Macaca mulatta: one gene and its partner. The protein of the gene in region 1 interacts with the protein of each later gene in a pairwise test. Links are inferred from orthologs where the notes say so. Each region holds a gene or a part of one and is shown on either strand. Other genes may lie near its edges.

Region 1 (5,692 bases):
GACAGTCTGATTGCTGAGAATGGTCTTCATTCTCACAGTAGACGCAGCAAAAAAAGCCAGAATGACTTCATTTATACAACATTAATAAGCATGGAAAACTAAAGAAGATATTGTTTAGGGATAAAACTGACAACATTAGAAAGCAAAGCAGACAATGAAGCAATCTCTGGATAGTACTTACTTCCAAAGGAAAAAGGAATGGGATGGAATAGTGAAGGGCACAGAGGGAACCTCAAAGATAAACACATTGTTCTTTTTCTTAACCTGAGGGATAGCTCAGAGGGCTCATTGCCTTGTTATACTTTCTATCGTACTCATATTTTATAAATATGATTTTATATATACTCAGTAAAGACAAGAAAAAAGTGAATTCCAAATTAACAATCTTCACACAATACCGGCCCATCTGTTGCCCAAGCCAGAAGCCAATAAATCACCCATAAAAATACAGAATTTTGTCTTCCTCTCCTCCCATATCTGTTATATTAGTAAGTCTGTCAATATTTCTTACATTTGTCTACCCACTATTATCTTCACCACCACACTTGTCAAAGCCTCCATCATCTTATGGTCGAACAACTGCAAAAGCTTCCTAAGTGGAAGACCCTCTCAGTCTCCTAATGGCCAGAGTAATCTGTTATTCTCTCTTATTCTGTATGTCACTGGCTTTCTTCTAGTTCCTTGAATGTGCTAATACTTTTATTTGCCTCAGAGTTTTTGTTCATGCTGTTCCCTGCCTGAAATTCTCTCTCATTATCCCTTTCTCTCCAGCCTGAGCACTGCATCAAGTGTTACTTCCTTAAGTGTTCTACAGCTCCAAGACTGGATCTGATCTGATATCTTTTAATAGGATCTCACAACATCTCGTAGTTTTCTTTCGGAACACTCATCACAGTTAGTAATTATATATGTGATTACTGATTAATGTCTGACTTCCCTTCTAGACTATAAGCATTACAAAGGCAAGAACTGTATCTATTTTGCTCACCACAATATTATGAACACCCAGCACAGAGCCCAGCACATAGTAAGGCTTAACTAATCTTTCTAGCATGAATGAAGAAACTTACTGTGACCACACTCTGGACTTCCCTGAGCCCCATTTTTCCAATTATAAAAACAACAGATGGTTCTAATTGACATCAAAGGGTCCCTTGAATATCAAAGTTGTGGCCAGGTGCCTATAATCCCAGCACTTTGAGGGCCAAGGTGGGCAGATCACTTGAGGCCAGGAGTTCAAGTCCAGCCTGGCCAACATGGTAAAATCCTGTCTCTAATAAAAATACAAAAATTAGCTGGGCATGGTTACATGTGCCTGTAGTCCCTACTATTCAGGAGGCTGAGACGGGAGGATTGCTTGAGCCCAGGAGGTGGAGGTTGCAGTGAGCCAACATCACGCCACTGCACTCCAGCCTGGGTGACAAAGTGAAACCCTGTCTCAGAAAAAAACAAAATACAAAAACCAAAGTTGTGTGTCTGTTGTCCCCCTTCTTCCACGACCCCAAATGTACTCTCTAACCTTCTGCCTTTTCTGCCTCCTGTTGTCCTCCTGATCCTTGACATTCCAGTTCCTCTAGGAAGATTTCCTTGACTCCTGGGCTGGAATGTACTTCCCCTATGGCATATATTTTGTATTTGAAAAATCTAGGGTTGAGTGTGGTGGTTCCCCTCTGTAATCCCAGCACTTTGGGAGGCTGAGGCGGGTGGACTGCTTGAGCCCAGGAGTTTGAGACTAGCCTGGGCAACGTAGCAAAACCCCATCTCTACAAATAATAATAATAATAAAAATTAGCCTGTTGTAGTGGTGTGTGTCTGTAGTCCCAGCTACTTGGGAGGCTGAGGTGGAAGGATCACTTCAGCCTGGGAGGCTGAGGCTACAGTGAGACGTTCATGCCACTGCACTCCAGCCTGGGTGAAAGAGCAAGACCGTGTCTCAAAAAAAAAGGAAAAGAAAAATCTAGTTCATTTACATGAGACTTCTTGTTTGAGCATTTCTTTTCTTGTGATTACAATAGGTTTGAGTTCTATAATGAAACTGTAAGCCTCTGAAGGAAAACAACATCTGTACTGAGATTTTTAGTTCGTTGAGGGTAGAAAGCTTGTATCACAGTCATTCATTCATATATATATTTACTGGGTGCTCCTTATTGTGAGGCAGCAAAGTGCAATAGAATAAGCATGAGTTTTGGAATAAGACTTGGGTTAGAATCCAACTCTGTCACTTACTGTATAATTGTGAACAAGGTCAATAACCTCTCTTAGTTTCCACTTAGATATCTGTAAGTATGATAATACTTAGCTAGAAGGGGTATACAGACCTCTATTGACAAAATCTTACTGTACTGTAATTATGCTGTAAGGCTCTGTCTCACTTGAGATCAGCATTTCTCAAAAGATGAGGGTAGGGTGGATGGCACTGCCCAACAGGGGGGTGGTTCTGTGATGTGAGGGGAAGGGCTGGATGTCAGTGACTAAAGGATGCTATTGGCATTCAGAACCCAGAGGCCAGGAATGCTAAATGTCCTGCAATGCAATGGACGATCATACAATACAAGTTGTTCTACTCAAAATGCCAATAAGAAATATGCCATTGGGAAATACTACTTTATTTTATTTCTATTTATTTATTATTATTTTTTTGAGACAGAGTCTCTCTCTGTCACCTAGACAGGCTGCAACGCAGTGGTGCAATCTCAGCTGACTTGCAACTTCCACCTCCCAGGTTTAACTCAAACTCCTGCTCAGCCTCCCAAGTAGCTGGAATTACAGGCACACGCCACCACACCCAGCCTTATTTTTATATTTAAAGACAGTCTTGCTCTGTTGCCTGGGCTGGAGTGCTGTGATATGTTCCTAGCCCACTGCAGCCTTGAATTCCTGGGCTTAAGCGATCCTCCCACCTCATGATCCCAAATGGCTGGAACTACAGGTGCACATACCACACTGGCTAATTTTTTTTTTTTTTGGTAGAGATGGGGTCAAGAGGAGGACCTCATGTGATCCTCCTGCCTTGATCTACCAAAGTGCTAGGACTACAGGCTTGAGTCACAGTGCTGGGCCTAAGAAACACTACTTTATATTCAGTAATATTATTCTTCATCTTTATATTCTCAGAGTTTAGCACAGCCCTAGTGTAGAAAGAAAACAAATGTATGTCAATGAAATGAAAAAACAAATTGTAATGACATCATTTGATTATGTGCCATAGAACAAACTGGATTACAGCCAAGTATGTCAAAGGTACAGCCCTGGTCATGTCAGCCACTATTGTTATATTTTTCATGCTCAAGGTTCATTATGTGCTTAAAGATATATTTGAGTCAGGCCAGGTACAGTGGCTCATGCCTGTAATCTCAGCACTTTGGGAGGCCGAGGTGGGTGGATCACGAGGTTAGGAGTTTGAGACCAGCCTGGCCAACATGGTAAAACCCCGTCTTTACTAAAAATACAAAAATTAGCCAGGTGTAGTGACGGGCGCCTGTAATCCCTGAGCAGTAAGAGCAAGACTCCGTCTTAAAAAAAAAGAAAAAAAAAGAGACATATTTGAGTTGACCAAATGGTATAAGAATTCCTGATGGGAAAATACTGACTACTTCTGCTAAGCAATTGTATGGCCATTTCCATCTGAGTGCAGCCTGGCTAGAATAAGAAATGGAGCCATGTGGACTGCATGAGAAATATATGTTCAGTAGTCACTCTTAGGCAGAAATATCTGAAAGAACTAGTTTTTATGAATCTTAGAAATCCAGGTCTTCTCCTCATACTCTACTTACCTTTTGCAAATCAATGGAAAGCTGCTGAATGAGTGCTTGGAGCTCTTGTTCCTTTTGTTCCAGGGTTGTGATCTTACTTTCTGCACCTGTTTTTGAAGCTATCACATGATCTCTTCATCAAAAGAAAGCAGACAATGAACAAATTTGGATATCTCATCTAATATACAGTCTTCTGTAGGAAAAATACAAATGGTTCTTTCTATGTCAGGGCTACAAGCATCATTAGCCACATGCAGTTTTCAATGGGAAAAGCCTCAGCTCTCTCTGAAGCAGGAGCCCAAGGAGAAAAAGTCCATCCTAGTTTAAGAAAGAAATCCTGACCTGCCTCTCCTTAGTCTATAATACCTTACAAACTAAAACCACATTGAATTGCTCAGCAGGGCTGGAACTGTCCTGAGTTTCAGCAGCTGAAGGGGAAAGTGGGTTGGAGGTAGGGTGGGGCCTAAGTCCTAGGCAGGTAAGTATGTGTCCAGAAGCCTTTGCCAGCACTGGAATCAGAAAATGGTGTAATGAACAACGGGGAAAGGTGAGCAGGCTATAGCCAGAACTACACTAACACCTCTTCCCAAGGGCCCCACAGACCAAGCAAGAACCTCTGCTCTTCCAGCGTTGAGTAGTGTCTCTGCAATTCTTCTAGCTTCTGGCTTAAGTCTGATGACATCTGGTTGGAGTTCATCAACTCCTCCTGGGTACGACTAAGTTCTCTGGTTCGTGCCTCCAATTCTTGCTCCATTTTCCCTAGACTTTCTTCTTTTTTTAAAAGCTGACACAAAAATACAAAGTTTCATTGGGCTATGCTAAGAAAAATACATTTAAGACCGGGCAGGTGGCTCACGCCTGTAATCCCAACACTCTGGGAGGCCGAGGCGGGTGGATCACTTGAGGTCAGGAGTTTGAGACCAGCTAACTGTTCGCCATGGCTAACATGGCAAAACCCTGTCTCTACTAAAAACACAAAAATTAGCCGGGCATGGTGGCGGGTGCCTGTAATCCCAGCTACTTGGGAGGCTGAGGCGGGAGAATCACTTGAACCTCAGAGGTGGAGGTTGCAATTAGCCAAGATCATGCCACTGCACTCCAGCCTGGGTGACAGAGCCAGGCTCTGTCTCAAAAACAAAAAAAAAATTAAAAAAGAAAAATACACTTAAAAACAAATCTGGGCTGGGTACAGTGGCTCATGCCTGTAATCCCACCATATTGGGATGCTGAGGCATGCATATCGTTTGAGCCCAGGAGTTTGAGACCAGCCTGGGTAACATGGTGAAACATCATCTCTACAAAAAATACAAAAATTAGCCGGGAATGGTAGTGTGCCTGTAGTTCCAGCTACTCGGGAGGCTTAGGTGGAAGAATCCCTTGAGCCCTGGAGGTCAAGGCGGCAGTGAGCCACCATCATGCCACTGCACTCCAGCCTAGGTGACACACACACACACACACACACACACAAAAAAAAAAAAAGAAAAAAGAAAAAAAAATCTAAACTTGTCAGGCGTGGTGGCACACACCTATAGTAAAAGCTTACAGTCCCAGTTATTTGGGAGGCTAAAGTGGGAGGAGAGCTTGAGCCCACGAGTTTAAGGCTGCAGTGTGCTATGATCACACCTGTGAGTAGCTATTATACTCCAGCCTGGGCAACACCGTGAGACTCCATCTATTTAAAAAAAAAAAAAAAAGTGGACCAATAACCAAACTTTTATAACATTTTTGTGGGCTTATAAGAGGATTTATATACCTAGTAGGTAAAAAAAACCCAAAAAACCAAAAAAACAAAAAAACAACAACAGAAAAAGAGAACATTTCAAACAGAAGTTTTCTATTTTAATAAATTTTAAAACATACAAATATGATTAACATCAAATATGATTAGTATCAAATATTAGTGGTGTTATGTTTATCAGCAATTAGAGAGTGATGACTAG
Region 2 (5,692 bases), on another chromosome or scaffold:
AATACCACTTAATCAAGATTTATTATTTCCTTAAATTGCTGGACTTAATTTGCTAATATTTCCTTAAAGATTTTGTGTTTACAGTCATGAAGGATATTTGTAGTACTCTGTTTTAGTGATATCTCTCTCTGGTTTTAGTATCAGGATAATACTGGTCTTGTAAAAATTATTTTAGAACTTAGAACAGGTTCATACATTTCCCAGCTTATTTTAGTTGTGAAGTAAGTTGGGAAATGTATGACCCTGTTCCAATTTCTAAAATAATTTGTTTAAGAGTAGTAATTAATTACTCACGAAATGATAGTTGCCTTTGACAGGCATCATGCTAGAAGGAAAATCATGGCCATCTTTTTATTGGCCTCTTATTGCTATATTCCACTTTAATCATACATAGCTTGATGAAGTTATATTGTACATTATTGGATAATTTTCTATTCAATCAAAGGCAAAATATTAAGAAAAAATAAAGTAATGATGTAATAAAATTCCACCTTACATAAAGGGAGTTTCAAAATGTTACTTAAAAATTAGTTTTGTTCTTTGTAAAACCTATCTGACAAGACAAATCTTTTTAGTTTTATTCTTATAATACTTCATTCAAAAATGTATAATTAACCCAAATGAATCACTGTACCTGTATGTTTCAATAGCTTGCATATCTTCTTCATCAAATTCATCTTCAGCTTCCTTCAGCTGTGCAAGAGTCATCTTTTCAAATGGTTTCACTAAAACAACATAAATTATAGATTATCAAATTGTTTAAAAATTTTTTTACTATACAATCAATGTCTAGAAAAAAACTGTCTTAGACAAAGGAGATCAACAGTATCTTTAAACAGCCGGGTGTGATGGAATCCCAGCACTTTGGTAGGTCAAGGTGGGCAGATCACTTGAGGTCAGAAGTTTGAGACCAACCTGGCCAACATGGTGAAACCCTCTCTCTACTAAAAATACAAAAATTAGTCAGGTGTGGTGGCAACACCTGTAATCCTAGCTACTCGGGAGGCTGAGGCAGGAGAATCACTTGAACTCAAATGACTGAGGTTGTAGTGAGCTGAGATCGCACCACTGCATTCCACCCTGGGCAACAAAGCGAGACTTGGTCTCAAAAAAACAAACAAACAAAAAAGAGTATCTTCAAACAAACATAAAGCAGCCAGCCACCAAAAAAAGGTATACATATTATAGAAAGTATAACATTAAAGTATTACTCCGTCAAAGTTCATAGAACTGACAGGCTACATTTAAAACTAGGTATGGGCTGGGCGCGGTGGCTCAAACCTGTAATCCCAGCACTTTGGGAGGCCGAGACGGGCGGATCACGAGGTCAGGAGATCGAGACCATCCTGGCTAACACGATGAAACCCCATCTCTACTGAAAAATACAAAAAAACTAGCCAGGCAAGGTGGCGGGCGCCTGTAGTCCCAGCTACTCGGGAGGCTGAGGCAGGAAAATGGCATAAACCTGGGAGGCGGAGCTTGCAGTGAGCCGAGATCCGGCCACTGCACTCCATCCAGCCTAGGTGACAGAGTGAGACTCCGTCCCCCACCTCAAAAAAACAAAAAAAACTAGGTATGAAAATCAATTAGATTTCATAAATTCAGATTTCCCTCAAGTACCTGGAAATCTTGATAAAGAAGACATACTATACATACTATAAAGAATGATAAAAATAGATGGTAATAAGATAGAGGGACAGGGTGGGAGAAGAAAGCTCCCTAGTTTATGCAACAGGCTATTTCAGCTCTGTTATTAACTAGTATGCGATTTTCGAAATGTGAAATTAGTCATTTTAGGTGTATACAAATACTGAAAGAATATAAATACTGAAAGTAGTTGGGGTTTATATTAAATGTTTTTGTTTTGTTTTGTTTTTTTGAGACAGAGTCTTGCTCTGTCACCCAGGCTGGAGTGCAGTGGCGCAATCTTGGCTCATTGCAAGCTCTGGCTCCTGGGTTCACGCCATTCTCCTGCCTCAGCCTCCCGAGTAGCTAGGACTACAGGCGCTCGCCACCATACCCTGCTAATTTTGTTTTTGTATTTTTAGTAGGGACTGAGTTTCACCGTGTTAGCCAGGATGGTCTCGATCTCCTGACCTCGTGATCCGCCCGCCTCCGCCTCCTGAAGTGCTGGGATTACAGGCGTCAGCCACCGCGCCCAGCCTATATTAAATGATTTCTAATGTCCTCTCTCCCACTATGTTCATGAAGTACCTTACTACTAACTTAACTGTATTATTCCCATCATCCAGCCCACCAAATCTACAACCATACCCATTGCTTCTTTCTGTAAACCTAAAACCATTTCTTCAATTTCATCTTTTGACTCTTCTTTAGGAGGAAGAATGCCAAAATCTCTTAAAATGTCATTCCATTCTGTATCTTCATTGGGATCCTACACAAAAAGGAAAGAAAAGAAAATTAACATGGTTGTACACTTTAATATGTATTTGGAAAATTCATTGACATGTAGCACTTAAGTGTTCAATTGTTCATGAGCTCTACAGTTAATTGGTTTTGGAGAATAAAGCAAAGTGACCTACTTTCTCCTACTTTCCAGCACTAATGGGATTATGTGCTCCATTGAAAACTTTAATAAAGTATCAATTTAGAATACATATATAGAATATTAAGGAAGTATCTCCTAAGTCATGGAAAATTTGCTGAAGACTGCATTGGGCAAAACCAATTCACATCATACACAAATACAGTTTGGTTTCCTTTTCTACGTAAGCATTCGAGACCATCAGATGAACTTCCTTTTTTTTTTTTTTTTTTCTGAGACAGAGTCTTGCTCTGTCACCCAAGCTGGAATGCAGTGGCATGATCTTGGCTCACTTGCAACCTCCACCTCCTGGGTTCAAGTAATTCTCATGCCTCGGCCTCCTGAGTAGCAGTCTTGCTCCACCAAGCCTAGCTAATTTTTGTATTTTTACAGGGTTTCCCTATGTTGCTTCAGCTAGTCTTGAACTCCTGGCCTCAAGTGATCCTCCCTCCTCAGTCTTCCAAACTGCTGGGATTATCTTTGCTAATTTTAAAATTGGGTTGTTTTCTTACTACTGTTATTTGAGTTCCATATATATTTTAAGTAGTAATGCCATGTCAAGTGTATTGCTTGCAAATATTTTTTCCCAATATATAGATTGTCTCTTCACTTTGCTAACTGTTTCCTTTGCTGTGCAGAAGTTTTTTAGTTCGATATAATCTTGTCTATTTTTGCTTTGTTGCCTGAGCTTGGGGGATTAAATCCAAAAATTCACTGCTTAGACCAGTAGTGTGTAGTTTTTCCCCTGTGTTTTCTTCTTGTATAATATTTTCACAATTTCAGGTCTTATATTTAGGTCTTTAATCAATTTTTAGTTGATTTTTATAGATGGAGTGGGATAAGGGTCCAATTTCATTCTTCTGTATGTGAATATCTTCTTTCCCAAAACCAATTATTGAAGAGACTGTCCCTTCCCCCATTGTGTGTTCTTGTCCCCTTTGCCAAAAATCAATTGACTGTAAATGTATGAGTTCATTTTTGAGTTCTCCATTGGTCAATGTCTATTTTATGCCAGTACCATGCTGTTTTGATTACAATGGCTTTGCAATATAGTTTGAAGTCAGGTAATGTGATGCCTCTAGTTTTCTTCTTTATGCTCAAGATTGTCTTAGCTATTCAGAGTTTCTTGTGGTGCCATATGGATTTTAGAACTGCTTTTTCTACTTCCGTACAAAAGGGCAAATTGGAATCTTGGATAAGGATTATATGGAATCTGCAGATTGCTTTGGGTAATATGAACACTTTAACAATAATTTTTCCAATCCATGAACATGGAATATCTTCCTATTTATTTGAGTCTTCTTCAATCTCTTTCATCAATATTTTATCATTTTCAGTCTACAGATTTTTCACATCCTTCTTTAAGGAGTATTTAAATCCTAAGTATTTACTTTTTTGTAAATATTATAAATGGGATTATTTCCTCAATTTATTTCTCTGATAGTTCATTGTTAGTATACAGAAATGCTACTAGTTTTTTGTTGTTTTTGTTTTGTTTAGCTTTGTGTTTTGTTTTTTGAGATGGAGTCTCGCTCTATTGCCCAGGCTGGAGTGGAGTGGTGCAAACTCAGCTCACGGCAACCTCTGCCTCCTGGGTTCAAGCAATTCTCCTGTCTCAGCCTCCCCAGTAGCTGGAACTACAGGTGCCTACCACCTCACCCGGCTAATTTTGTATTTTTAGTAGAGATGAGGTTTCACCATGTCGGCCAGGCTGGTCTTAAACTCCTGGCTTCAAGTGAGTCACCCACCTCAGCCTCCCAAAGTGCTGGGATTATAGGTATGAGCCACCATGCCTGGCCAGAAATGCTACTAGTTTTTATATTGATTTGGTATCTTGCAACTTTACTGTATCCATTTATTAGTCCTAACAGTATTTTGGTGGGGACTTTAGGGTTTTATATATACAAGATTACATCATAAGCAAACAGCAACAATTTCACTATTTCCTTTCCTGTTTGGATGCCTTTATTTATTTCTCTTGCTTAATTGCTCTGGCAAAGACCTCTGGTACTATATTGAATAGAAGTAGTGAGAATGGGCACCCTTGTCTAAGAAATAAAGCTTTCAACCTTACCATTGAATATAATATCATCGGTAGGCTTGTCATATATGCCTTTATTGTGTTGAGGTATATTCCTTCTATACCTAATTTGTTGCAAGTTTTTATCATGAAAGGATATTAAATTTGGTTGAATGCTTTTTCTGCATCTAACAAGATTATCATATGATTTTTGTCCATAATTCTTTTAATGTGGTGTGTCACATATGTAGATTTGCATATGCTGAAACATCCTTGCATCAACAGGATAAATTCCACTTAATTGTGGTACATTATTCTTTTAATGTGCTGTTGACTTCAGTTTGCTAGTATTTTGTTGGGGATTTTTACATCTGTGTTCTTCAGAGATAATGGCTTGTAATTTTCTTTTCTTGTAATGTCCAGGTCTGGCTTTGATGTCAAAGTAATGTTGATCTCATTAAAAAGATTTAGGGCCGGGTGCAGTGGCTCATGCCTGTAATCCCAGCACCTTAGGAGGCCGAGGTGGGCAGATCACCTGAAGTCAGGAGTTCGAGACCAGCCTGGCCAACATGGTGAAACCCTGTCTCTACTAAAAATACAAAAATTAGCTAGGCACAGTGGCAGGCACCTGTAATACCAGCTACTCGAGAGACTGAGGCAAGAGAATCACTTGAACCCAGGAGGAGGAGGTTGCAGTGAGCCGAGATCGCACCATTGCACTCCAGCCTGGGAGACAAAGTGAGACACTGTCACAAAAAAAGCCAACAACAACAACAACAACAAAAAACATTTAGAAGTATTCCTTTTCTATTTTTGGAAGAGTTTAAGAAGGATTGGTATTAGTTCTCCTTGAAATGTTTGGTCGAATTTACTGGTGAAGCCATCAGGTCCTGGACTTTTCTTTGATGGGAGACTTTATTTTTTATTCAATCTCCTTATTTGTTATTGGTCTGTTTAGATTCTGTATTTCTTCTTGATCCACTGTTGGTAGGCTCTATGTGTCTAGGGATTTATCCAATTCTTCTAGGTTATCCAATCCATTGGCATGTAACTGTTCATATTAATGTCTTACGATGCTTTGTATTTCTGTGGTACCAGCTGTAAGGTCTCCTCTTTTGTTTCTGATT

Evidence for each region. The genes of interacting proteins can lie anywhere in the genome.
Region 2: the proteins of GOLGA1 (region 1) and PDCL2 interact in a two-hybrid assay, tested with the Homo sapiens proteins (2 studies listed by BioGRID). The two-hybrid records come from large-scale screens. The link is inferred for Macaca mulatta from reciprocal best matches to the Homo sapiens genes GOLGA1 and PDCL2.

The regions. Positions count from the first base shown.
Region 1 is NC_133420.1:22,847,493-22,853,184, reverse strand, and holds part of GOLGA1 (golgin subfamily A member 1), read right to left. Parts: intron 4,537-5,692; coding exon 4,367-4,536; intron 3,886-4,366; coding exon 3,774-3,885; intron 32-3,773; exon of another isoform or gene 1-31. UniProt on the Homo sapiens protein: Involved in vesicular trafficking at the Golgi apparatus level. Involved in endosome-to-Golgi trafficking. Mechanistically, captures transport vesicles arriving from endosomes via the protein TBC1D23.
Region 2 is NC_133410.1:77,911,148-77,916,839, reverse strand, and holds part of PDCL2 (phosducin-like protein 2), read right to left. Parts: intron 2,396-5,692; coding exon 2,275-2,395; intron 726-2,274; coding exon 635-725; intron 1-634. UniProt on the Homo sapiens protein: Essential for male fertility, spermiogenesis and acrosome formation.